Linked DNA regions of Caenorhabditis elegans. The protein of the gene in region 3 purifies or fractionates together with the protein of the main gene of each other region. This does not show direct contact. Each region holds a gene or a part of one and is shown on either strand. Other genes may lie near its edges.

Region 1 (8,008 bases), on a different chromosome or scaffold from region 3:
CATAGAGTCTTGGCTACCTCGTTGGCCGCTCAGAAGAGTGGCTCTTGACTCGGAATTTGTTGGAGAGTCTAGTGAACGATCGGTGGCTGATGTTCGTAACCGAGGTGCCATCTCACGAGGGATACTATCGCCATTTGTGATCTTACGGTGAGCGAAGACAGGAGCCAGACGACTCGCCTGAAGAAACCTTTAATAAAATTTTTTCAACTGGGCACTAACCTGCAAGAAATGCGACGACGACCTGATCAATTGAGTTCCTTCTCTGGAGCACATTTGTACATCAACTAACAGTGAAGAGAGCTCAAGCTCCTCACTGTACTGATTTTTGAGTGGAACTGATCGGAATCCACATCTAATTGAATCAACAGGGAATACTGCTTGACCAATGAACGGATCTGTTTTTGGTCCCACAAAGTCACCGTCTTCCACGTGGAATCTGATCAGTGCTACTTCGGGACACTGGATCTCAAATGTGAAAGTTTGATTCCAGATCGGATTAAGACCGTTTGATGCTGAAATTTTAATTGAAATTTAGAAACTTATTTTTAAAAAGGAAAAAAAATATTAAAAATTACCTATAGTTTTAGTTTGAAAAACTTTTGTGTCACATGGCATTCCAATAATTTCAATTTCCACAAATGGGGAGCATATTCCTTTATTCTTATCTTTTCTTGACAAATGACGTCCTCCAATCACTTGAACATTCAGTCGAATGGGATAAGCTGTTGCAAACTTTTCCGTGTTCGTAGGATCGAAGTCATCAGTTAACATATAATCTGGTTTCAGTAGGTACCCGCATCTTCCATTTGCCAAAAACTTTCCTTGATTCAACTGCATGGGTTTATCACCGGTTTGATAGTTTAGTGCAACCATATGACATCCTGCATTCCACATTGGAACCGGACTATAATTATTCGATGTGATTCGACTTCCGTTCGGATAGACCCTCGAGAGTTTTCGGGAATTAAACGGAAGAAGCCCCTTTTCAACCAGTTTGTCAAGTTTTCCCTCGACAAATGAGCACATTTCATAGAAAGCGTCATTGTAGATATGGGCTGGGTCGAATGGAACAGCTTGACAGTAGACGACTAGATTTGAGAGCTCAGCGGCAATTCGTTTTTCTTTTTCTTTGGTTCGGAGTATGCTCATTTTTGTGTTAACTGAACGAGTCAGCTCGAAGAGATTGTTTTGCCAACCATCTGCTTCCTCGGAGGCTGGAAAATTATAGTTTAAGTTAAGTTGGGATCCAGGTTGAAAAATATTTGCGTAAAGTGAATCTAATTTGTTTTTTTTTTCTTCTCCGTTTTGAATTTTTTTTAAATAAATTTTTGTAGTAGTTTGTAGATTCAGGTACGCTTTCAATTGTCACAAAATTTCCAAATTTAATTTAAATAATGTTTGAAATTTTTTTAAAGAGTTTCTATTTTCTTTCGGGCCATATCAACACAATTTGTAGCCTGTCGAAATTGTAAACCCCAGAATTTCAGTTCGAAGAACAACTTACAAGAAGCAGCCAACAAATAATATTGCTTGTTCATCCAATGTTGATTTGATTGTGATATTCTGATAACATTCGGACGATCAGCATCATGAATCCGTTCAATTAGTGTTCCAGCTAGCTCGATTGTGTTGTAGTTGCTAGTTTCTGAAAACTTTGATGTTTGATTTCACTTTACTCTGATAGAATAATCAAATTTTTAAAAAATCATTGAAGCATAGAAGGGATGATACTTTATTTTTCTTCTTTTCAGATCTGACTAAAACTCAAATTTCTATCGAATGCAAGCTTCTTGTCCCACTCTATCATTCTTTCATTCTCCCAAGTTTTTACAAATAAGTCTACACATAATATCGGCTGTTGGAATTCCAATTTACATATTCGGAGGGTACTGTATTTTGTGCAAAACCCCGAATCAAATGAATCTTGTCAAATTGGTCATATTTAATTTGCATTTTTGGAGTACTTTAATGGATTTATTTATGGGATTATTTGTTGCTCCATTTATACTTTTACCGTCAATGTCAGGGTTTCCCATGGGATTGCTGGGTTATTTGGATGTGAATATTCCATTTCAAATTTATGTTATGTTGACTGTAATTGTTTGTAAGTTTTGCAGGAAATTTGGAACTTTATATTTTATCATTTCAGTAACCGGTGTAGCAATTCTTCACATTTTCGAGAACCGCTATAACACCATTATTTTCGAGTTTTCTAGTCGAAAAGTCAGACGAGCTCTGTTCTTTATTTTCAACTATTTACTGGCGTTCACTTTTGTCATTCCAACTATTTTACGTATTCCAAATCAGTCGGAAGCTATCAAAATAGTTAAGGAACAATTTCCATGTGAAGTCGATGAAAATCGATTTTTTGTGTTAGCTCTGGATGTCCGTGTAACTCACTATTCAGTTATTATCACTAGTTCATTGATTGAAGGGCAGATTATTTATTTTGTCATTCGACTTTTGATGAATTTAAGTGGAAAAGATGATAGAAAATCAGAAAGGACTAGAAATTTACAAAAGAGACTATTTCGAGCAATTTGTATTCAAGTTACTATTCCTGTTTTACTAATGTTTATTCCATTTCTATTTGTAATTATTCAAGTTTCTCTGGAGTATCATAATCAAGGTAACACTTTTAAAACTATAATCTAGTTACTATATTCATTACAGCTCAAACTAATATTTCTTTATGCTTGCTATCTCTTCATGGTTTGATTTCAACTATTGTGATGCTCATTGTGCATAAACCATATCGTGATGCTACACTAAATATATTGGCAGCTTCTAAACTATTTCAAAAGAATACAAATAATAATAGTGAGCCCACACGAAATTCAGTTCCCTTTTTGATAGTGACTACTTAATTTAAACTTGCTATTTTATGAGATAAACTGTTTACATTAATTTTTTCAAACTAACCTGAAGTTGAAACTTTCTCTGGTAGAATCTCTTGTACATGGGCCGAAGGGAACCATCCAGTCAACGATCCATATCTTCCTCTCCAAAGACCTTCTTCCTTCCGGAGTACTGTGATAATAACATTCGCTGGGAACGAAAGTTCATCATCAGCTGTTCCTCGATACGGTCGAAGTGCTCGAGCTTGAACTTCTTTATCCAAATCCTTCAGATCCATATAGCAACCTGGAGTACGAGCTTCTGCAAGTTCAGCTGTCAGGTGTGATATATCCTTCTCATTGACAGGGAATCGAAGACTAATTCCTCTAACAAATTCTCGATTCGCATAGAATTCAACAATTTGATTCAAATTCTCGAATACTTTTTGATTCACCACGAAAATTCTTCCATCTCTTTTCAATCGATAATGCCAGAATTCGCCGTCGACTTTTAGCGAAAGAACGTAAACTGAAGAGTCAGTCGATGACGTCCGAATTAGGAAAGCACCATCTTCTGGCACCAAGCTCAAAAGTTCTTCGGCTTTTTCCTTGTCAGCAGTAGCAGAGAACCATGGCTGATTAAGATGCGGTTGTGGTTGAGGACATGGAATCGTGAGCACCATTTTGAAATGAGCAGTTGTGAGGTAGTGACGGGTGTAGTAAGAGACCAACTCGTAAAGAGTGTCGCAGACTTTGTTATCCATGAAGTAATATTTTTTCTCTTCTGAAAAATTGAAAAGTTGAAAATTTTATTAAAAGTTTCTCTTCTATTTACTGTAATTCTCGAATACATGTTACATGCAAAACATAGAAAAACTCACTATCAATAATCTTGGATCTTATCCGAACATGATGAACTTTCCCGTCATGTAGAATCGAAAGTGAGAAATCTCCAATGAACAGATTCGAATCTCGAATCATAAACAATCCATTTCCCTTCTCCTTATGCTCTAGAATCCGTTTTTTCGCTTCATCCCGTTCACATCTTCCATGGAACCATTCTTCAGTCACATGCATTTCTTCAGGTTTCACTCCAAATCCAGAAGGCGTCTCTTCTTCCCGTTCTTCATCTCCACTTACACTCACTGTATCGTCATTTGGATTTTCAGGATCAGCGGTTTGAATCAGGTAGCAAAGACGATCAGGGAATAATATGAAAACATGAGATGTCCATTCGTGACTGTTGTTGTTTTTTACCATCAGGATCCCCTTCTTTACACATTCGCGAGATATGATTTCCGTGTCTTGGACTGAAACAAAAATCATTTAGCAAAATGATTTATACCTTTACTACTAGGAAACTAGAGTAATTTCATAAAACTTACACTCATCAGTTTTCACCACAGCTGCCAAATCCTCGCTTTCTATCGGCAACTTCTTATGCTTCACGATAATTTTCTTCTTCAACGCGGCCGGGGAGGGCAATTGTTTTTCTTCACGATTTGCTGGTTGTGTCAATAAATAATCACCAAGAATATCTTTCAGTTCTTGAGCTAGAAGCCGTTGAGCTGGCACCGAGCAGTTGTCCTCAATTGATAGAATTACTGGATATTCACTCGTAACAAATGCATAGTGACGGATGACGTGAAGCACGTCGCGGAGCAAAATTTTTGAGGTCATCGTATACCCGTGATAGATGACAATATCAATGAACTCGGCTGACCCGGGCTTCTTCTGTCCATCCCAGCAATCTACTGAAAAATAAAATTATTTATAAAACAGTGAAAATTGTCTCTAAAACTTACACTCAATGCATCTACAACCCATCAAAAGAGCTTGAGCATAACAATCCAAAGAAGATTCAGATCGAAGTTGGTCACCCGTCAAGTATCTGGAATTAAATTACTGGTTTAGCACTTATATAGACCAAAAAAAAAACAAACGTATTATGCGAGCTGGCAATCCAATAATGAGACAATGGTCTGCTCATATCATGAGTAACTTTCTCATTTGTTGGGTCCCACAGCGAATTCTCCCTTGAAAATAAAAAATCACAAAACTCGAAAACAGTCATTGAAGGCTCATTTCTATCTCCAAAATATGCTTGATCTTCTTGAAAATATCGATTCAAAAACTCCAAAGCTCTCGTTCGATTCGAGGCAAGTTCATCGAATTGTTTGCCATCAAGAAATCGCAAAAAATTTTGAAACGTCACCACAAGACCTTTTCGTTCATGTTTTTCAGCAAGATCAGCGAATCTTGAAGAGAAGAGTTCAGGTACATGGATAAGTTGACGACTGGCAAAACTGAATTGATCAGAATTCATTTGATCTTCTGTCACTTGTTGGAGCTGATCAGATTGAACTTTGAATTGGAGGGAGGTTTGAACAAATGGTTTCATATGCTTTCGAGCAACGCTGGAAAATTGTTATTATTAAAAAATTCTGCAATTTTTGAACTTACGCATCATTAGCCGGTGACATTAAACTCAAAAAGTGTTTATGCAGAAATCGTTCAATTCTCAATGGATGAGGGGATGAGTCTCGATCTCTTGTGTCCATCATCAAATTATGAAGTCCTTGTGACCATAATTTGCACGCATCCTCACTTTCAACTATAACATTTTTCTTTCAAACTATTGAATAATTATTTTAACAAAAACTCACACAAAAGAATCCAATAGGAAAGAGCAAATCCCATTCCATATGAGATGATTAGAATGGCTTTTGAATCAAAATTTACGATTTCTCGATCCTTTTTCCATTTATCATCTACTTTAATTGTGTTCAATTTGTAATTCAATGTCTGTACTTCACGGATTTGTCGAATATCTAGAATTGTCGGTTTATTTCTGAAAAAAATGTAAATGAATTTCATGCGATGTTACTTATCCTCTTACCTAACAGCTGACAGTTCCAATTTTGTCAGAAAAATCTGCCTCGAGTACCGATCCAACGTTAATTGTTTATAGGCTGGATCCCATTTCTTCAACACCGCAATTTTGCACACTTTGTGACCTTTCTCCATTGCCGCAAACATTTTCCCAAAATCCATTTCATTGTGACGGTTCAATTGAGCTCGTGATGCTGTCGAGAAACCATTTGAAGAGCGGTGATGAAGGTGAACGGAGCCCGCTGTGCTGGTTACTGTAGTCTTTCGAGACGACGATGATGGGCCAAGTGAGCCGTGTTGCATGCTGAGAAATTGAAGGATTTATGAAATTGGATGCACATAAAAAAGAAAATTTTAACGGTCTTCCTTGCAAAAGAACGATTGAAAGAATTTCTGATTTAGAAATTAATTTAAAACTTATAAGCAATTACGAAAATGTGGTGTTTCTTCAATTTCTCATAACAAAAGTTATTTTATTCAACTAGTGAAATGCAATTCAGTTGTTAAAATGAATAATCTCTTATCAAAAATTGTTGTATTTTTCCGGTAAAAAAACTATCAATCATACTTTCCCGTTTGAAAAAAAAATCAAAGAATATAAAACAAGAACTTGATCAAAAATCTAATTTTTTAAAATAGTTCGCTTAGAAATTTTTAGAAAATTCACAAGAAGCGGCTGGGAAGGCTTCAAGTAATATTGAAAGATATTACATTTTTTTAAACAAGATGTCTTATTTGCCTGGATATTTGTGAATTTTTCCAATTAATTTATAAATAAGTTTTAAAAATGTAGTTTCTATTAGAGGAATGAATAGGTTTTCAACAAGAAAATTGCGATTGGAGATTATGAAAGTTTTCTGCAAAATTGGCAAAAGAAGTTTCTATAACAATTACTATTTATCTATCAAAATTTTGAAAGCCGGCAAAAATGTGTTTTATGCTTTAATTCTTTGTGCTAAAGATTGGCTCAAATGTGCAAGGATAGTTGAAATATCTCAACTAATCACACTTTTCAAAATTTTGAAAATTTGCCAAAACCGTGACTGAAATTTTTTTTTTCATATTTGGTTTTTAAAAAATCGCGTATATTTTGACAAAAGCACCACAGCCCTTCAAAATTATTTCCTAAAAACTTATTTACCCTCAGTTTAATTCGAGCTCCAATAACCCAATCAACTCCCTATTCCTATATTTTCAGAAAAAAAAGTTTCCGGAAATTCTACAACTGCAAGAAAAAAGAATGACATTTCAAGAAAAAAGGAGCACAATAAAGTAAAAGTGTGAAATATAATACATATGACCTAATGACAGTATGATAACGTCATACTAGCCACGGCGAGGAGCACAATTCGATAACGGTGTGTGGAAAAATAATTCAGACTAAATTGGGAAATTTTCACAATTCCTTTTTGATAAAGAAAAATGCTCCTCGAGTTTTGTGCTTTTGGTGCTTCACACATAGAAAAGAGAATTGAATGAAAAGGGCTGGAAACTGGAAGAGAAAGAGAAAGAGCAAAAGAATATTGTTTCAACAAAATTCGAATCGCTTTGGTTGATTGAAGAGAAATGGACGATGTGAATGTGAAAAAGAAGAAGAGGAGCATTTCCAATATTTTTCAATTAAATCTTTATCGGATTTTCAATTTGTTCATTCCATTGGAATGAAGACGCTTCAATATTTGTATTTATTTACTTTGAAGACATTTATGATCATTTAAAAGTTTTCTATAACTATTCCAAAGTATTTGCTAATGAAAAACGAAAGCTGTGATACATTTTATTGTAACCCGATTTTTTAAAAATTATAGTATCATAGATAAACTTACCCAATTAAATTTACAAAAAAATTTTAGACATATAAGTGAAAAATTGTCAAGATTGATTTTTTAGAAAATTATTTTAAACTCTACATATGTATATGCAACAAAGTCACAGAAAAATTACATCACATATAAATCACAGAAAAAAAAGAAAACTTTTAGAGTCGTGTCAATTGTTTTGCATTTGCGGAAGAAGCCATACATTTATGAAAAAATTTCGGATCTTAACATTAATCCTAAAATAAAGTATTGTTATCAGACTTTCTAAATATAAATTTTTAAAAAACTCGAAACCATTTTCCTTGGAGATGTTAAAATTGACACCTAAAAGGAATGCTTATAAAAAACGACAAAAATATTCTGAATTCAGATGCAAATTTTCATTTTTTCACATACATAAAATGGGGGTGAATGGGTGTATAGAACATAGGTGAAATATGATAGATAAAAGAAAATGAA
Region 2 (4,823 bases), on a different chromosome or scaffold from region 3:
AGTGGGAAAACTGAAAAAAAAATTTTTTTTAGAGGGAAATTGGAAAAAATTACATTTTAAAAGTTAAAAAAAAATCAAATTTTCAGTTAAATTTTCAATTTTTGCCTAGTTTTTCTTTAAATTCGAGCTTATTTGCCAATATTTTTCAATTTTTCTTGAAAGATTTTTCAATTGCTCCATTCAAAAAGTGAAAAAAAAATCTATGGAAAAGTGACTTTTTACAAGAAAATCGTTAAAATTTGTCATTTTTTCACTAAAGAATGCATTTTCAGACAACTTTTTTCTGTGGAAAAATTCGGATTTTCGAATTTTTTTGAGGACGAAAAATTAGGAAGTTCTTAGTTTTTTAATTTTCAGTCTGAAATTTATAGATTTTTGAGGGAAATTGAGAAAAAAAAAATAAAATTTAGGAAGAATTATAGGAAGAAGGAGAAATTTTCAGTTAAGTTTTCTATTTTTGCCTAGCTTTTCTCTAAATTCAAGTTTTTATTTTTATTTTCCTTTGAAATCCGACGTCTTTGACTTTCTGCTTTAAAAAAAAACGGAAAATTCGGCGAAGTGAAGCTGCATTTTTCTCTTTAAATCTAGATTTTTCGCATAAATTCCATGTAAATCATCCATATTTTCCAGTTTTTCTTCTCAATTTTATCTAGAAACTCACTAATTTCAGGTACAAGCTTCAAATGTCCTCCAACAAAATTATTCTCATCAACATAATGATTGAGAAGCTCAACAGCTCGATCTGTTCCAGTTTCATTATTTTTTGCAGCCGACGTATCAAACATTCCTTTAATTGCAGCAACCATTGCAGCTGAACCAACATTTGGACTACAATGAAGCAAAAATGCTTCAACATCGTTCGATTTCTTTTCGAAAAGCTCTTTATTCTTACGAACAATTCCAGCGGCCAGTTCACCAACATTCTCTGAAACTAAATACGGGAAATTAATGCGGAATTCTGGAAAAAATAGGCTTGACGGTATCCTTAAATTGAATTTTTTTTTAAATAAAACAAATTTTTTAATAAATTTATTTTAAAGCGGGATTACAGTTTGTGGGTATTCTGCTTAAATAGACTACAACTGGTCCAAAACCACCGAATTTAATAATGAAACAAAAAATTTTCAACAATTTTGTATGGATTTTTGGTTGAGGCTTAGGATTTTTGGGTGAGGATCAGGATATTTCGTTGAGGCTACCATGATTTTTGGTTGAGGCTAAGGATTTTTGATTGAGGCTCAGGATTTTTGGTTGAGGCTACCAGGATTTTTGGTTGAGGCTAAGGATTTTTGATTGAGGCTCAGGATTTTTGGTTGAGGCTACCATGATTTTTGATTGAGGCTCAGGATTTTTGATTGAGGCTCAGGATTTTTGGTTGAGGCTACCAGGATTTTTGGTTGAGGCTAAGGATTTTTGATTGAGGCTCAGGATTTTTGGTTGAGGCTACCATGATTTTTGGTTGAGGCTCAGGATTTTTGATTGAGGCTCAGGATTTTTGGTTGAGGCTCTCAGGATTTTTGGTTGAGGCTCAGGATATTTCGTTGAGGCTACCATGATTTTTGGTTGAGACTCTCAGGATTTTTGGTTGAGACTCAGGATTTTTGGTTGAGGCTACCATGATTTTTGGTTGAGGCTAAGAATTTTTGGTTGAGGCTCAGGATTTTTGGTTGAGGCTACCAGGATTTTTGGTTGAGGCTCTCAGGATTTTTGGTTGAGGCTCAGGATATTTCGTTGAGGCTACCATGATTTTTGGTTGAGGCTAAGGATTTTTGATTGAGGCTCAGGATTTTTGGTTGAGGCTACCATGATTTTTGATTGAGGCTCAGGATTTTTGATTGAGGCTCAGGATTTTTGGTTGAGGCTACCATGATTTTTGGTTGAGGCTAAGAATTTTTGGTTGAGGCTCAGGATTTTTGGTTGAGGCTCAGGATATTTCGTTGAGGCTACCATGATTTTTGGTTGAGGCTAAGGATTTTTGGTTGAGGCTAAGGATTTTTGATTGAGGCTCAGGATTTTTGGTTGAGGCTACCATGATTTTTGGTTGAGGCTCAGGATTTTTGATTGAGGTTCAGGATTTTTGGTTGAGGTTCAGGATTTTTGGTTGAGGCTACCATGATTTTTTGGTTGAGGCTCAGGATTTTTGGTTGAGGCTAAGGATTTTTGGTTGAGGCTTTCTGGATTTTTGGGTGAGGCTCTCCGGAATTTTGGTTGAGGCTACCATGATTTTTGGTTGAGGCTACCATGATTTTTTGGTTGAGGTCAAAATTAAAAAAGGCATATTAGTGCAAAAATCAGAAATTTTGCCCAGTTTTCTTTGTCGCAGAGACTGTAATTCAACTTTTCTGAAATTATCACTTTTAATTCACATTTTGGTAATTTATCTTGTGTAAATTCATTGATTGAGACAATTTTTAAGCGAAGAGACATCCAAAAATGATAAAAATTGGATGCCTCACGGTTTAAAATTGTCTCAATCAATGAATTTACACAAGATAAACTAATAAAACTTAGATTAAAGAGTGATAATTTCAGAAAAGTAAAATTCCAGTGGCTGCGACAAAGAAAACTGGGGACAAAGAAAAAATTTCAGATGTCAGCAAAATTTGGCTCTTTTTTTTCGGAATTCGATCCCTTTTCAGATGATATTCATCAATTTTTCACGAACTTCTACGAGAATTTCGATGGGTTTTTGAATGAAATCATTCAAATTTCCCGAAAATTTCAGCGAATAAATACATTTTCAAGTTGAAAAATTGAGAAAATCACTAATTTTCTTCTTTTTCCAACAAAACCCTCCAAATTACCATGTTTTTCACTGCAAAGCTCATTGATCGCAGCACACAATGACTCCATACTACCAAGATCCATTCCAGAAGAAGCTGCTGCAGACGATGATGATGAGGCTCCCGTGAAGAGCTTATTGAAAAAAGCTGAAAAAGCTTTTCCGATTTTTTTAGAAAATTTACAGGTTAAATAATAAACTTACTTGTCATGATCCTTTTGTGAATGGGATTTTCCTGTGATATCTGAAAATATTTACATTTTATCGTGAAAATGTGTGACAAGAAACGAGTAAGAGAAGATATACGAAAAAATAAGAGAAAATTGCACAGGGAATGGCGATTGGTGAGAAAATTTAGAGAAGAAACCGAGAAAAATATAGAAATTGAGTAAAAATCGAGCTTGTACAGGAAAATACCGAGAAATTAGTGAAAAATGGGTAAAATTTGGGGAAAAGAGAAAACTTTGCTAGAAAATAGAGGGAATCACGAAAATTTTAGGGTATTTCAGTTCAAATATCACCGAAAAAGCACCGTGTCAGGCATAAAACGCTGTTTTTTTGAAAATTACTTATAGAAAATACGCTAAACAACACGCGACGCGTAACATCGGAGCATCGTTGTCACGCTTTTCTTCGAGAAAAATAGCGTTTTATTCGTTGGCACGGTGCCAATTTCGGAAATTTTAGATCCAAAATCCCAGCTGATCTTGAATCCGTGGTGCCTCAAAACAGGTGAAATTCACAATATTTTCCTGCTCGGAAAAATTTCGAAAAAAAAATCGACAATACGGGGATTTTTCGAGAAAAACTGTGAGAAATGCCCTAAAAAAATGCAAATATTAGCTGGAAACGAAGAAATTTGGGTCAAAATTATAGAATTTTCAAATTAGAAAATGCGTGAAAAATTCAGGAAACATGATCGATTCAAGACGAAAAATACTCCTCGTCGTTATCGATTTTTTCAGTGCGTTGATTTTGAGAAGCGTCGTAAAATGGTACGGTATCGAGTGCAGAATGCATGTCAATCATATGAGTATTCATCGATTCGAATAATCGTTCGATTTCTCGTTCTTCTTCTGAATCATCCGAATCCGACTGAAAATATGGGGAATTTTAGTATATTCTAGTATTTTTGGATTTTTAGTTGAGGCTCTCTGGATTTTTGGTTGAGGCTTTCTGGATTTTTGGGTGAGGCTCTCCGGAATTTTGATTGAGGCCCAGGATTTTTGGTTGAGGCTCTCATGATTTTTGGGTGAGGCTAAGGATTTATGGGTGAGGCTCTCAGAATTTTGATGATTTTAATGAAAATTTGAGTTTTTTAAAGGTAAAAAGCTATTGGAATATTGCATTCAGCGAGTTTTTTTTATTTTTTGCAGCGCTAAATATCACAAAACAGATATTTTGTGATTCCTGGGACCGTTTTTTGGGACTTTCTGCTTTTTTTCAGATTAAAAAACTGGCGTCTGTCGCATTTTTTGTTAGTTTTTTGAGAGATCTTCGGAGTCGTTTAGCTAGAAAATAGACTGAAAATCGGATTTAAAAAAAAAGGAAAATCCTGCCAAAAACACATTTTCTAGATCACATTGAGCTTTTTACATTCCAAAAATCCCGATTTCTTCGTAAAATTGCACAAATTAATCCCTTTTTTATGGAAATCCGAATTTTTCCTTACAAATTCAAAATTCTCCTTGACACTCCTCGCTTGTTTTCTCTTTTTCCTCCTAGCCGACTCAATTTCATAAACTTGTAAATGAATATTCGACACATCTTCATGCGCTTCTTTCACTTTTCCCAACGCAGAAATCTGTGGAGCATCTAGCCATCGGAGCTCACCATTTCGAAAATCTTCCAGTAGTTTCAGCATTCCTTTCTCCTCGAATATCATACTACTGGGCTCCAGAGGCGATGGAGGCTCCCGAACAAGAGTCTCTGTCATTGTATTTGGATCCCATTCGTACATATCTGCGTCTCCTTCGTGTCCGAGCACTTTCTCGTCCAGAGTTCTCGATTCAAACCATTTTTCCTCGGATTCCGGGCTTAT
Region 3 (7,853 bases):
TGATTTTATTCTAGATTTGGATACGTCACGACATTCAGACATTCGGATCTTTTCCCAATCGACGCAGACGTACTGTAAAATATTAATTTATTGATACTGTACGGTGAGTATTTTATCTTTCGTATTACTGCCAAAACATAACTGTCACTCAAGAAAAGCATTTTGCAAGCCCGCGGCGCGGTTTGATATATGTCGAATTACGGAAGATACTCCACACGGACAAGTGATTTTTTTTTCGGCATTTAAAAATTTTTTGACTACTTCTCTCTTTTTGAACTACTTTTTAAAACGTTTTTTATATTTAAAATTAAACAATTAAAGGTAAAGAATAAATTGACAGACCGGTAATACTTATTTTAAATTTTCAAAATCTTTTCTTTAAGTATTTTTATACATTTTAAATTAATCAATATTTCTTTAAAATCCCTCAATTTTAGTTCTCGTTCTTTTTTCTTTTCCGAGGTCAGGTGTCACACATTTTCAATTTTTCCCCAAGCGGCTTCCCCCTCTAGCGAAAAGTTTAAAGTCAGCCGAATATGAAGGAGGCGACTGATAAAAACAGCTGATTTTTCTATGATTTTGTCGAAAAAAAAATAGAACAGACGTACATTGAGTGGTGACGTAAAGGAAGAACACTTTGGAGAAAAGCACAAAGGTCAAAATTATTAAAATTTAGTTTTTTTCGGTTTCGGATCCACAGTCCAACTCATATTTGAGTTTTTTTTTTAAATGAAATACAGTCAAATTACGATCAGGATATATTTTTATAAAATAACAAACCTCTTTCATAATTCCTTTCCAATGCTTCTGAAACTCGATGTCTTGCTTCCATTGAAGCAAATGAAATTCCCACTCGAAGCAGTGATTCATTTTCTTCAATTGCCATCATCATATCCATTTCTACTTGATTTCCGAGCACAGATTGCCGCTGAAAATGTTTTGTAAATAGACTTGAAAAGCACGAGTTTTTATTTTGTTTTTATTATCGTTTCGCCAAAAAAAAATCTGAATTGTCTTAAATATTTCAAAATTTTGTTAAAATGTCATAGTTTTAGCAAAATGGAAAATGTTTTTAAAAAATGAAACTTTTGCAAAATCTATAGCATTCTTGCTATGTAAATAAATAAGAAGTGACTAAAATTGGAGAATCGTAGAAAATTTGTTTTTTTTAAGTCGATTTCCAAAATTATAAAAGGAAAAAAGGAATCATTGGACCATAAATATACTTTTTTTTAATTGTTTCAACTTATTTTTTATTGGATCATTTTAGCACCACATGAAATAATTGTCAAACATTTCCTAGACTCTTCCCTCAACTATATTGTTCCTGTGTTTCGTATGATTTAACGCGAAACGTGTAAAAATCTCATATGACACCACGGCGAGCACTTGTTAGGTAAACAAGTTGAAAGAGAAACAAAAAAAAGAAAAAGAGTGATGTTCTAAATATAAGCACAGAAGTGTTTTGTTTATTTTGTAGATCACAACAAAATAAATAAATACGTACGACTACAGTAACCAGATAGTGTTTTCTAGAGTACTGTAGAAAATCGGATTTCAAAAACTTGATGCGAATGGGTAGCAAAACTTGAATAAAATTAGAATTTACCCAAATTGAAAATTTTTCAAAGATAAAAAAAACAACAAATACCTGATTATCTGCTTTAAATTCAACAATTGATTGTGTCACAAGTGTTGATCGCAGCAATCGAGCCAATAATTCAGGAGTCAGGAAATTGGATTCAACATTCAGAACACGAAGGGATGGTGATGTTTCGATAAGCTCAATGAGTCCCTGGAAAATATGAGAATTCGTTTTTTTTTATCAGATGACAAATACTATTTTAGAAAAAAATTAAAATGTTCAAGATTGCTATGGAATTGAGAAATTATTTCACAAATCAATGCAATATCTTTCAACTCGATAAATTTTTAAAAAATTTTGTTTTAAAAAACTCACTCTCGCTTCAGAATCCGAAATCGCTGTGTTGGCCAATGAAAACTTTTCAATATGTTTACTGTTGCATGCCGCCTCGATCAGTGATCGAATACGTTCCTGAAGTTTGGATATTTTTTCAAATTTCTGATTTGGAAAAAATATCTAACAAACCTTCGACACTCGTTTCATATTGTTAATATTAACCTCCTTCAAGTCTGTATCGTCTTCTCGTAACCGGCTGAAAGTTGGAAACATAGTTTAGAAATGTTTAGAACTTGAAAATTTTTCAAGAGAAAGTCCAGGGAACCAGAGATTTGAAATATTTCAGGGCAAAACAAAAACGTGGTTTTTTTTTAAATTTTTTAAGCTGATTATTAACGCGAATTGAACAATAAAATCTATTTTTTAAATTCGTTTTTTCCTATTAAAACATTTAAAAACTCACTTAATACATGATTCAACATCAGTATCATTATCAGGCTCATCGGGAACAATACGTGGAACATATGATTGCATAATTCCATTAAATGTCGTTCCTGTCGACTCATCTTGTGTTTTTCCTTTTAGTGCATTATAATATTGTGGTTGATTGAGCACATTGTGCATACCTGTAATTAATTAATTAATAGGAAATTTAAGATTATTTCAAAAAGAAAAAACGTAATATTAAAATTAAATCTTAAACAAACCCAAAATTCCAGCCAAATCAACGAGATCCTTTTCAGGGGCAGTTACAAGAGCACACTCGAGCTCTTCTTCATCATCATCCAAATCAATTTCAATTGGCATCTCCATTTTACCATTTTCAGGTTCTTCTGAATTCCGTCCACTATCACTATCATACACTTTTCCACGTTTTTGTCCAGGCGTATAGGGGCACACATCTTCCCAATCTTTTTCGGTTTTAGCCTTATCTTCCAGGAATTTTAGTAAATTATCTCGTTTGTAAGGTCCCGTTGGTTCTTTGTCTGTTTGATCACGACAACGTTGGGAAGGAGGAAGCATTGAATTCTGGAAATTGAGAATTTACATTTTATTTTAAATAACAAATTTTATTTTTCCTGGCGCTCTGATTTGGGAAAATATTTTCTATGTTTCATAGACATTTTATTCGTTTTAGTTAGAACTTTTTTGATAAATAAATAACTCATTTTGACTACATTTTTCCGATTTTTGAAAAAGGACACATTTTGATTAAATTTTTTTCTGAAACAAAAACACCTTTTGAATGAAAATTATTCAACGACACCCTGGATTCTGATTAAAATTATGAAAAAATCTTAAAAGTTTTATTTCAATAATTATAGCATAGAATGCACTTTGATTGACCCTTCAGAATTAATTTGAATTATATCATTTCAGAATACCCTTGATCACTGTTATAGTGAAACAATTTTTGAACTTTCAGACACCTTAAGGCTCTCGCACTTTGTGATCATTGTCATCACCTTCCTTCTCCAAACAATTGGACAAAGTTCACAACTCTTACTTTTGCCTTGTTAACCAATTCCCCCTTCCAAACAAATGTGCTGCCCAACTTTTCTTCTCGTTCATCTTCTAAACGAAAGTTAAACAGCAATCCCAATGGTGGGGGTGGTCTCTCTTCAAGGTTTCCGCAAATAAAATTGTGTGTTTGTAAGTGTATCTGTCTTTATGTGTATGTGTACAAGTGTAGGAGATGAGGAAAGGAGGAAGGACATAAATTTGCGATCGGTTTTTTTTATATTCATTGGATCACAATGCATGTGCACAATGTGCAGTGTTTTAGTGGTAATAATCTGATGGAAAGTTGAAGGAAGTGGTTTTTTGACGAATCTAGTATTATAGTCAAGAGCTTGCGATAGATCAACTGACCGTGAGCATCTCTTTGGTTGAGACTATCACAAGACTTTTTGTGTGCACTTTTTGTGAACCTGGATCACGAAGAGCAGAGAATGAGCAAAGCTTTTAAAAATCATAGGTTACTGTAGTAATGCCAAAAGTTTGTTAATTGGTTCAAGGTAGACAATCCAAAAGCGAAAAAAAAGAACAAAAAACTACAAACATCCATAGGTTCTCATTCTAAATTATATTGTACTCTAGGGTCGATCTCATCATGAGAAATTAACTTTTCATCAAAACCACTACTAAGAAAAATTGAAAATTTGCGCCATCATTAGGTTTTCCCCAATTTTTATTTCATTAGGATGTCAACTTTCATCGTCCATGCAATATCCCTCTGCTCACTCTATCTTTCCATGCTCCAGTGGAAAAAAACATCGGAGAAGCACAGAGGAACAACCGAGACACTCTCCCGAGAGGTCTTTTCCATCTTTAACCCAATAGAGAAGAGAATCAGAGAAGCGGATCTTCTCTCTCGGGCGGTACATCCTCATCGAGTGAGACTACCAACATCGTAGAGACTCAGATTATCCATATTCCCGGGAATCGAGTGTGTGGAGATGACGAGTTGAACAGAGAGGGAGAAGCTTTAGAGAGTGTGAGATAAAAGTGTACACGTATGTGGACACTAGAGACAAGTCTCATGTGATAGAGCTGGAGAGGAAAAGAAAAATTGATCACACGTATGATTATTGATTGATTTATGTTTTGTTAATTTTAATCTAAACATGGAAAAAGCACAGAAGAGAAACATCAAGCTGTGGTCTGGAAATTGCTAAACTGAAATAAGATCGTGTCAAACGTTCAGAAAAAATCTCACTACGGCCTTAATTACAGACTTGAAATAGGTAAAAAACACCCTATGACATTTCTTTCGAAAACCCTACCAGCCTCTACAAAAATATTTAAAACTTGTGAAATCACATTGGAACTTTTTCAGCTTCTGTTATTCAAAATCTATGTATTTCAAAACATATATTCTTGACAAATCTTTTTTCTGTTTTATCATATTTCCTTCCAATTAAACATACGCCCTTCTACCGTACCTCAAGTGCCATTTTGCGTCATTCTGACTAACCGAAAAAATAAACAGAAAAACCTGCTGATCAATGCGCACCTTCTAAGGCATTTTTCACAAAGCTATTATTTACTTTAACACTGAGTTGCACAATTCAGGTATCTATAATTCAAATAGCTAAAGTTTAAATAACGATAATTTGAAAACTAGGGGAAGCGGCTTTTTGGTCAAATTAATACATAAAGTAGGCAAAACTTAGCATGAAGAGCATTCTAGAGCTTCACAATAAATGTTCAAACTTATCTTCAAATTCAAAAATAGTAAATTTTTATGTTAATGTTTTTTAAAGCTTTTGCAAAAATTTTAGAATTTCAAAAAATTAGCTAGCTAACTGGCCTTGTTCTATATATAATTTATATAATTTGACTCTTTTAAAATTTTTGAAAATTTGAAATTATCGGGAAAAAACTCACATCAGGATCAAAATCATTGTTGAGATCCTCCAATTCATCAATCGATAAACTTGAAAGAAGGCCTTCAATATCATTATCCTCCAAATCCTGAATTAGTTTCCAGAGTTCTTCGTTTTTCAAAAATTTCCTTACTTTTAATCCTTTATTGTAGACTTTTGAAGGTAGTTGAGTTCCCTGTTGACTATTCGCTGACGGTGCTGAGAAGGTCTTCTCTTCAGAATAGTAACTGAAAAATTATAGTTTTAACTTGACCTGCTTCAATGAATTTTTAATTGCTTACTACAAATAATTTTTAGTCTTTTTCATTTTTTGTAGTTTTAACAAATAATTATTTCGTCACATGTGAAATTATTTCTTAAATTCGATTATCAGAGATTTTTCCGATTTGCTTCACAATTTTTTAATAATATTTTTCAATTTTACATTCAATTTTTACCAATAAGTTCTAAAACTATCAGAAATTTCGGGTGTTCCTTAGTGCTTAGAGCTTATAAATTATTCCATTTTTTACACTAACCTATGATAAATTCGTGATCTAGGAAACATGGGTGGTGGAGGCTCCATGTTACTCATAATTTCAGACAATAATTTTCAGAAAAAAAATTCAGAAAATAATAGTCTTGAATAAAAATTTGAAGCCGGCGAAAGATGGCGCAGCTGACTGAGAATGGGAAAGTGTCCCCCCGTGTGCGCACTTGAAAAGGCGAGATAGTACAGAGAGTGATGGAGAGTGACGAGACAGTGAAACAACCAAAAAGAGGCGTGTTTTTTCTGCGTCTTCTACAAGACTGTACGTCTCTCGTGAATCGAAATATCTGCGTCTCTCACATTTATTTGTTATTTGTCGTTTTGTGTTGGCTCTGACCGAAATAAGTGTAAATATCTTTGCTATCAAATGGAATTTTTTTTTCCAAGTTTTTTGTTGGTTTGAGGAAAGAAGAATAAAAAAGTTTTTGAATTTGTTTAAAAGATTGTCCAATGTTGACTGACCGATTGGATGACAGTTCGTAACAGAAAGTAAATGAACACGAAACAATTTACTTTTCAGATTTTTTAAAGGAAACCTCGGAGGAATTTCAAACGAAACTTCAAATTTTTAAAATTTTCTTTAAAAAATATTAATTTTTCTCCAAAAATGAAAAAGGAAACAATAAACAAATGTTTGAAACCATGATTTTTGTACTTATTGGTCTCGTTCCTCAAAAAAGTTGTATATTGGCTCTTCGAACTTGAAATAAACGTTTTAAAAAATTTTAAGTCACTTTTCATCGCTCAGGTTGATTTTAGGATGTTTTGTGAACCTGAACAACTTGAGTGTTTTCAGAAATATGTTCTGAAGACAAAGTGTGAAAATTTTTAGATGAAATACTTTTCAGAATGTTTGCCTTATAACTTTTTAAAACATCAAGAAATTGCAAAAACCTATTTTGAAGCTGCTTTACGGAGCTCCAAAAAACATTTTTTAAATAAAACAATTTCAGATTTACTATTTTTCAGCTCTAAGAGCTCCTCTCTTTTTTGTAGGAACGTATTTTTCAAGCAAAATTCCAGATGACATAGTTTTTTAAATAATTTAAAAAAAAACACTTTTGTGTGGAAAAGAAGCTCAGAGTGCTCAATTTTTGATCTTGCTCGAACCTTATTTTCATTTTGAAATACTAAAACTGTTTTCTTTTTCAAAACTGTTCGGTAGATCATTTCCAAAATCTAAATTTCTCACTGAATAAGTGCTGCTTGTGATAATATATCTCATGTGCCCTTGTCTTCGAAAATTGAGAGTAAAGGGGTCAGCTGTCCGGAGCACACTCACACATACACACATAGAAGCTTCGTGTATCACATTCCTACTGCATTTTCGCCGTTTTTTTTTTCTCGAGTTTTTCTTAGCGACAACGAAGAGTCTTAAAATGACAAGCGAACTGGAGAAATAAAAAGAGAAAAGGAAGGATATGATATGTGTGTGTGATAAGTGCTTGTGGTCTGACACCAATTTGAACTTTTCGGACATTTAAAATCTACAGGTCATGGGTCTCAAATTTCTGATGGTTTGAGCAATGAATATTTTAAATTTTCAGAATTCATAGAATACTTCAAATGTTGATTTTGAATCTTTTTCGATTGTTATAGAATAACAAATTTTTAACATTTTTACTAAATTTAAAGAAATCATAACTTACTCAGTTTTAGCCTGACTCATCGCTGATGGCGGTTGCACAACAATCGGTGATGGTGGTTCGCGAGGCGTTAAGCCGAGTCGAGGTGCTCCAATCGCAGACGTCAGTTTGATTAGTGATGGTGAGCTTCAGCGACTGAAACTCTTGATTTTTACAGAAATTCTCCCGAAATCGGGGCGTATTAGTCAGAATAATAGTTTAGTAGAGTAAAATGAGAATAAAATAAATAGTATTATAGTAAAACCGCAATCACTTCAAATTTTTTTGGGCGTTGTTTAGTAACAAATCAGATGAGGGACGAAGTTGAGTTGTGGATATATATTCTGCTCAGGCTTTCCACGACGAAATGCTCCGTGAGCTGGGGAGTA
Region 4 (4,530 bases), on a different chromosome or scaffold from region 3:
AATTTGTAAAAATCTATACAATTTATGGTTCTTACCACAAGTTTATAGTGTTTCGCATCATCACAAGCGTGCTCAATGATTTCTGTCAAATGAGATTCTGAACGAGCATAGCCGATTTCCTTGAGCCCTTTTTGATCTCCAGTTGGTGAAACTCGGAAACTTCCAACTTCGATTTTCTTTTTCGGGTCGACTGCGGCGATTTTCAGCTCGAAATGGGTTACGAGGAGGGAGCAGGCTGAAATTTTCAATATTTAAAAATATATTTTAGAAAAATCTATCAACCTCCACACTCTAATGAAGAAACCGATGCAGATTGAATACCCGACAGTGATATGAGACAAACCAGTGTAGAAACAAAATGCATTCTGAATAAATGGTTAAAAAGCGTCGATAATGACCAAGTGAAGCGGAGAGAGAGAGAGAGCAAACAATGATTGGGAGAGTGGCAGAAAGAAAAGAAAAAGAACGGTGTTTGGATAGGTATCCAGTGTTTGTGTAAATGGTACTTTTCTTCACGAATAAAACATGAATATTATTCATTAAAGTTGATTGGAAACAACGTATTCAAGAGATCGAAAATTGATAAGTTAAACATTTTTTCAATTGGGAACCGGTCGACGTACACGTGGAATAATGTCGCAGAGCCGTTGTCTGGAAATTTAATTTTAATACTATTCAGATATGAACTCTGAAATCTCGTCTCAAAGATATGTTACCCGGCCTCGTCACGTACAATTTTTTCAAAAGTAGTACTGTAGTGAAAAACTAAAGAACGCTCCGCAACAGCGAGCAGCAATGAAATTTTATTTTTGGTATTTTTCGAAAAAAAGGGAGCGAAAATAGAGAAAAATTCTGTTATCCTGTCGGTAACTGAAAATATAATTGATTTTCAAATTTTACGCTTTTTCCAAAAAAAAATTACACTTATAACTGAATGCAAATTTTAAGGATTTTAAAATCGAAATTATTTTTTAAACTTACTCAAACTGCGTTCGCTTCTTCATATTCGCTTCGGAAGGCAGATCGTGTTCTCTTTTCAAAAATCCTTCATAATCTTTCCATGTAACACAAGAAGTTCCTTGTTCTCGACCACGCAACGGGCTCAACAGAATGCCCGTGTTCAGGCAAAACGGCATCTCTCGGAGCTCATTTCTGAAATTTAATTCAATGTATTTTCAAGGATTCAGGCACTTACAAGCAATCTGTAATTGCATCTCGAAAGAATCTCGTCAATGGATCCTTCAATCGACAAGCTTCTTCATATCGTTGAACACGCATTGATTCATCTTCTCCAAGTGAAATTGATAGTGGTGTCATTGGATCGAGCTGATCGTATGGGATGTTTGCATCGCTAATTCCTGTCAAATCGAGCAGAAACTCTGGAAAAAACAATAAAAATTGATTATTGGCAAGGGTATCATTGAAATTTTTTATGGATTTTTTTTCTGAGAAAATCAAAAAAAAAGTTTAGCAATTTTACAACAAAAAAATGTTTTGTTTAAATCAAATTAGGCTTATACTGTTATCAATCAATATTATTAAGGAAAAACATATAATTGCCATCTAAAAAGGAAAAAAGGTCAACATTTAAAACTATTTTTTGAAAAAACGAAAATTGTTTCCAAATATTGGAAAAAGCCCATGGATTCTCTTTTTTTATTTAAAACTTACGAGTAATAGTTGAAACAATGGCGGATGGTAAGTTAAGAATGGCTCTTCTTTGACTATTTCCAGCTCTTCTTAAAGTATATCTCCAGATCATGCATCTCGGACGGCACGCAACACAAAAATATGCTTTTATAAACTGCTTGGTTTTGTTGAGAAGTTTTGCGTTTCTGCGGAACGTCAGCAAACTGAACACATATTGAAGATCGGCATTCTAAAATTTGGCATTTTTTCATAGAAGCTGAAACAAAAAAAAACTCACAGAGAATACACCTGTTGCTCGAATATTGTAAGAAGTTTGTTGGCAATGCGAGAGATTCATTAGACTTAAATCGATTTTATCGAATTTTGACTCTGAATTTGTGTTGGTCGTCTGTCCTACAATTGTTCCTCTCAGGTCTTTAATGTTTGACTTTAGCGCATTTAGCTGAAAAATCAAAAAATGGAATTTTGAATTCCGGGCTATCAGAATTCTGACCATAATAGACGTTCCAAGCATTGCAAACCTTCCATCAGCCGCCGATGGATTCACCATACCTTCTACCAGCGATTCCATAGAAATATCTCCGAGAAATGTGGCTTCAGATATTCCGCAACGGATGGTTCTCTCCAATGAAGCTTCATTGAGCGTTTTATCCGATGTCGACACCATCACACGTGTTCCAAGCTCGATTATATCGATTTTCTCTGAGGCAATGTTTTGCTCAATTTTTTCTGAAACAATAATTGAACTTTTAATATTTTATTGATAATTTTTTTACCCATTCGATGGATTTTTTTCATTCTTTGAGTCGTCTTAAAATCTTTAATATCTTCTTTTGCATCATTATAAGAATCATATTTTTCTCCGCCCATATAGTCCTCTACATCGACTACGTCTTCCATTTCCATCATCTCATCTTCGTATGAGCCGTGTTCAGAGCTTTTGAAAGCAAACGGAATTACTATAAAGAACATTTTTTAATTTTTGAATAAAATTATTATTTTTAAACTTACTTCTATTTGAGTTATTCATATTTTTGTGGTAAATTTCTTGAAAAAAAATAATAAAAGGAAAATAGAGAATAGAGACAAACCGAGAGAGACCAGAGAAACGTTGTCCGAGAGGAGTGCACGGCCGAGAAAAGTCCAACACCTTTTTGCGCGCTAAATTTGAATTTAATTTGCCGCACAAAAATTTTCCTCCCTTTCCAGCCGCAAAATAGAATTTTCTTGAAGTTTCACATTTCCACACGAGAAAGCTAATAAAAATAATTATGTTTATAAACAATCAAGCAATTTTTGTCCTATGCAAGTATGCATGAACCGAAAACAGCGTTGGTGTTTTTATAAAACAACATATTTACAAACTCTAGGATAGAAAAATGAAAAGAATATGACATGATTCGCTAAAAAACAATTAATATCATTGAAAAACGCAAGGCAAATGAACAAAAAAGCAGACGTGAAAATTCTAAAAAGTCTACCATAAACTTTTGCGCGCCGAGACCCATCTGAAAAATACATATGTATATAATTCATGAAAATTCCAATATTTTAATTGTCTATTATATTGCTATGTTCATGTGTTTTGAGCCTCTTCTATGCTCTCCAGAGCTCTCTGTTCGCCACATGTGTTGTGTAATTCGAAACAGCCGTCACTTTTCCTCTGTTTTTCATTTTTTGAGTGTGTGATGCTGCTTGCTCTGCCTTCTGAACTTTGCCATCATGCATTTTCGAAAGAGATAAAAAATCTTGAAAGTTGAGCATGAAGCACCCAATTGTCTCTGGTGACACTTTTCACCTCATTTTCAAATCTCTTGCGTCATTCAGCTCGAGCCATTCGTCTTTCGATTTGACCCGGTTATTTTGTACAATTTTTAGTAGAAAAAATTAGTTTTTTGGGTCCTGACACGAGCTAAAAATTTTAGTATACAGTATCTGTAAGTATTCAACCAGTTCCCACAATTTTTTGAAAACTTGTTAGAAAAACTTAAATTACTGAGAAGTCTTATTATATATCAGGAAATATGAAAACTGTCAAATAGGAAACAACTTTCTGTAAGAAGAATGAAATTCTACAGTACTCGCGGGTACTGTAGCTGAAATATTTCGCTTGCTCTAGAACCCTGATCGTCAATTAAAAAAAATTGGCTAACTCGGCAATATTTGAGAATTATTAAGTTAATCGGAAATTTCAGAAATTGAAAATTTTCAGACATTTTTTTTAAATCAATAATCACGAAATGAACGATGATAAACTACGGAGCCTATTTGCATCTCTTGCAACTCTCACACAACAAGGACCAATTCCAGGTGAGCTATTTAAGAAAATTCGAAATCGTTCTTTGTATGTAGAATCAGGCAAATGTGCCTGCTCACGCCTTGATCCCGTTATTTAGTGAAAAGTGATGTGGATCGTCGCGGGACCCACAATTTTAAAAATTCGAGTTTCAGTGCAAGCCTACAGTATGCTTGCTGGTCAACATTCTACAGAAGTTCTCGCCGAACACATGAGGCTCCGATGGCTTTCGGATGGACGCTTTGGACCAGTTGCTGCAAATATACTAATGCACATCCATAAGGTAGTTCTGTACTACGGTAACCTCAAAAACCACAAATTAAAATTCCAGTCCGATCCAAAAGACATTTCATTATCCTCAAATGTGTTGGCTCTACTACTCAACGACTACCGTAACCGGCTTTCAGTTCGAAACGATTCTCGACTTATGTTCAGGAATTGTGTGAAGACACTTTTTTCGTAAGCAATTTCCAATTTTTTTTTTCGAAAGAAACTATCGTTTTATTCCAATTTTCGAATGTTTCTTGTAGTCAGACACGCAATTTTGATATCATATGATATATCATGTTGAGGTATTGTTGAAT

Evidence for each region.
Region 1: the proteins of unc-94 (region 3) and plc-3 fractionate together in Caenorhabditis elegans (co-fractionation; one large-scale study listed by BioGRID). This does not show direct contact.
Region 2: the proteins of unc-94 (region 3) and csn-3 fractionate together in Caenorhabditis elegans (co-fractionation; one large-scale study listed by BioGRID). This does not show direct contact.
Region 4: the proteins of unc-94 (region 3) and F01F1.11 fractionate together in Caenorhabditis elegans (co-fractionation; one large-scale study listed by BioGRID). This does not show direct contact.

What each region holds. Positions count from the first base shown.
Region 1 is NC_003280.10:10,220,902-10,228,909, reverse strand, and holds the start of plc-3 (1-phosphatidylinositol 4,5-bisphosphate phosphodiesterase gamma plc-3), read right to left. Parts: upstream 6,034-8,008; 5' UTR 6,033-6,033; coding exon 5,737-6,032; intron 5,689-5,736; coding exon 5,504-5,688; intron 5,452-5,503; coding exon 5,301-5,451; intron 5,255-5,300; coding exon 4,781-5,254; intron 4,729-4,780; coding exon 4,643-4,728; intron 4,592-4,642; coding exon 4,223-4,591; intron 4,148-4,222; coding exon 3,719-4,147; intron 3,622-3,718; coding exon 2,923-3,621; intron 2,893-2,922; exon of another isoform or gene 2,868-2,892; coding exon of another isoform or gene 2,674-2,867; intron 2,630-2,673; coding exon of another isoform or gene 2,150-2,629; intron 2,105-2,149; coding exon of another isoform or gene 1,780-2,104; intron 1,646-1,779; coding exon 1,505-1,645; intron 1,215-1,504; coding exon 576-1,214; intron 513-575; coding exon 220-512; intron 178-219; coding exon 1-177. Other genes in the region: srh-135 (Serpentine Receptor, class H), read left to right, coding at 1,780-2,104, 2,150-2,629, 2,674-2,867. UniProt on the Caenorhabditis elegans protein: Mediates the production of the second messenger molecules diacylglycerol (DAG) and inositol 1,4,5-trisphosphate (IP3) which plays an important role in the regulation of intracellular signaling cascades.
Region 2 is NC_003282.8:192,948-197,770, reverse strand, and holds the start of csn-3 (COP9 signalosome complex subunit 3), read right to left. Parts: upstream 3,030-4,823; 5' UTR 2,994-3,029; coding exon 2,987-2,993; intron 2,931-2,986; coding exon 2,805-2,930; intron 932-2,804; coding exon 662-931; intron 11-661; coding exon 1-10. Other genes in the region: intk-1 (INTaKe), read right to left, coding at 3,707-3,877, 4,455-4,823. UniProt on the Caenorhabditis elegans protein: Component of the COP9 signalosome complex (CSN), a complex involved in various cellular and developmental processes.
Region 3 is NC_003279.8:5,993,267-6,001,119, forward strand, and holds the start of unc-94 (Tropomodulin), read right to left. Parts: upstream 6,032-7,853; 5' UTR 5,885-6,031; coding exon 5,829-5,884; intron 5,538-5,828; coding exon 5,444-5,537; intron 5,399-5,443; coding exon of another isoform or gene 5,390-5,398; coding exon 5,312-5,389; intron 2,951-5,311; coding exon 2,629-2,950; intron 2,548-2,628; coding exon 2,385-2,547; intron 2,178-2,384; coding exon 2,111-2,177; intron 2,057-2,110; coding exon 1,961-2,056; intron 1,796-1,960; coding exon 1,652-1,795; intron 929-1,651; coding exon 781-928; intron 73-780; coding exon 35-72; 3' UTR 1-34. UniProt on the Caenorhabditis elegans protein: Acts as the pointed end capping protein which maintains the length and dynamics of the actin filament. Blocks the elongation and depolymerization of the actin filaments at the pointed end.
Region 4 is NC_003281.10:5,869,165-5,873,694, forward strand, and holds F01F1.11 (PAP-associated domain-containing protein), read right to left. Parts: upstream 2,714-4,530; 5' UTR 2,681-2,713; coding exon 2,662-2,680; intron 2,610-2,661; coding exon 2,427-2,609; intron 2,380-2,426; coding exon 2,144-2,379; intron 2,093-2,143; coding exon 1,928-2,092; intron 1,880-1,927; coding exon 1,672-1,879; intron 1,380-1,671; coding exon 1,196-1,379; intron 1,153-1,195; coding exon 982-1,152; intron 652-981; coding exon 600-651; 3' UTR 521-599; downstream 1-520. Other genes in the region: F01F1.15 (DUF3456 domain-containing protein), read right to left, coding at 36-235, 283-364; F01F1.3 (MIF4G domain-containing protein), read left to right, coding at 3,891-3,960, 4,102-4,229, 4,278-4,405.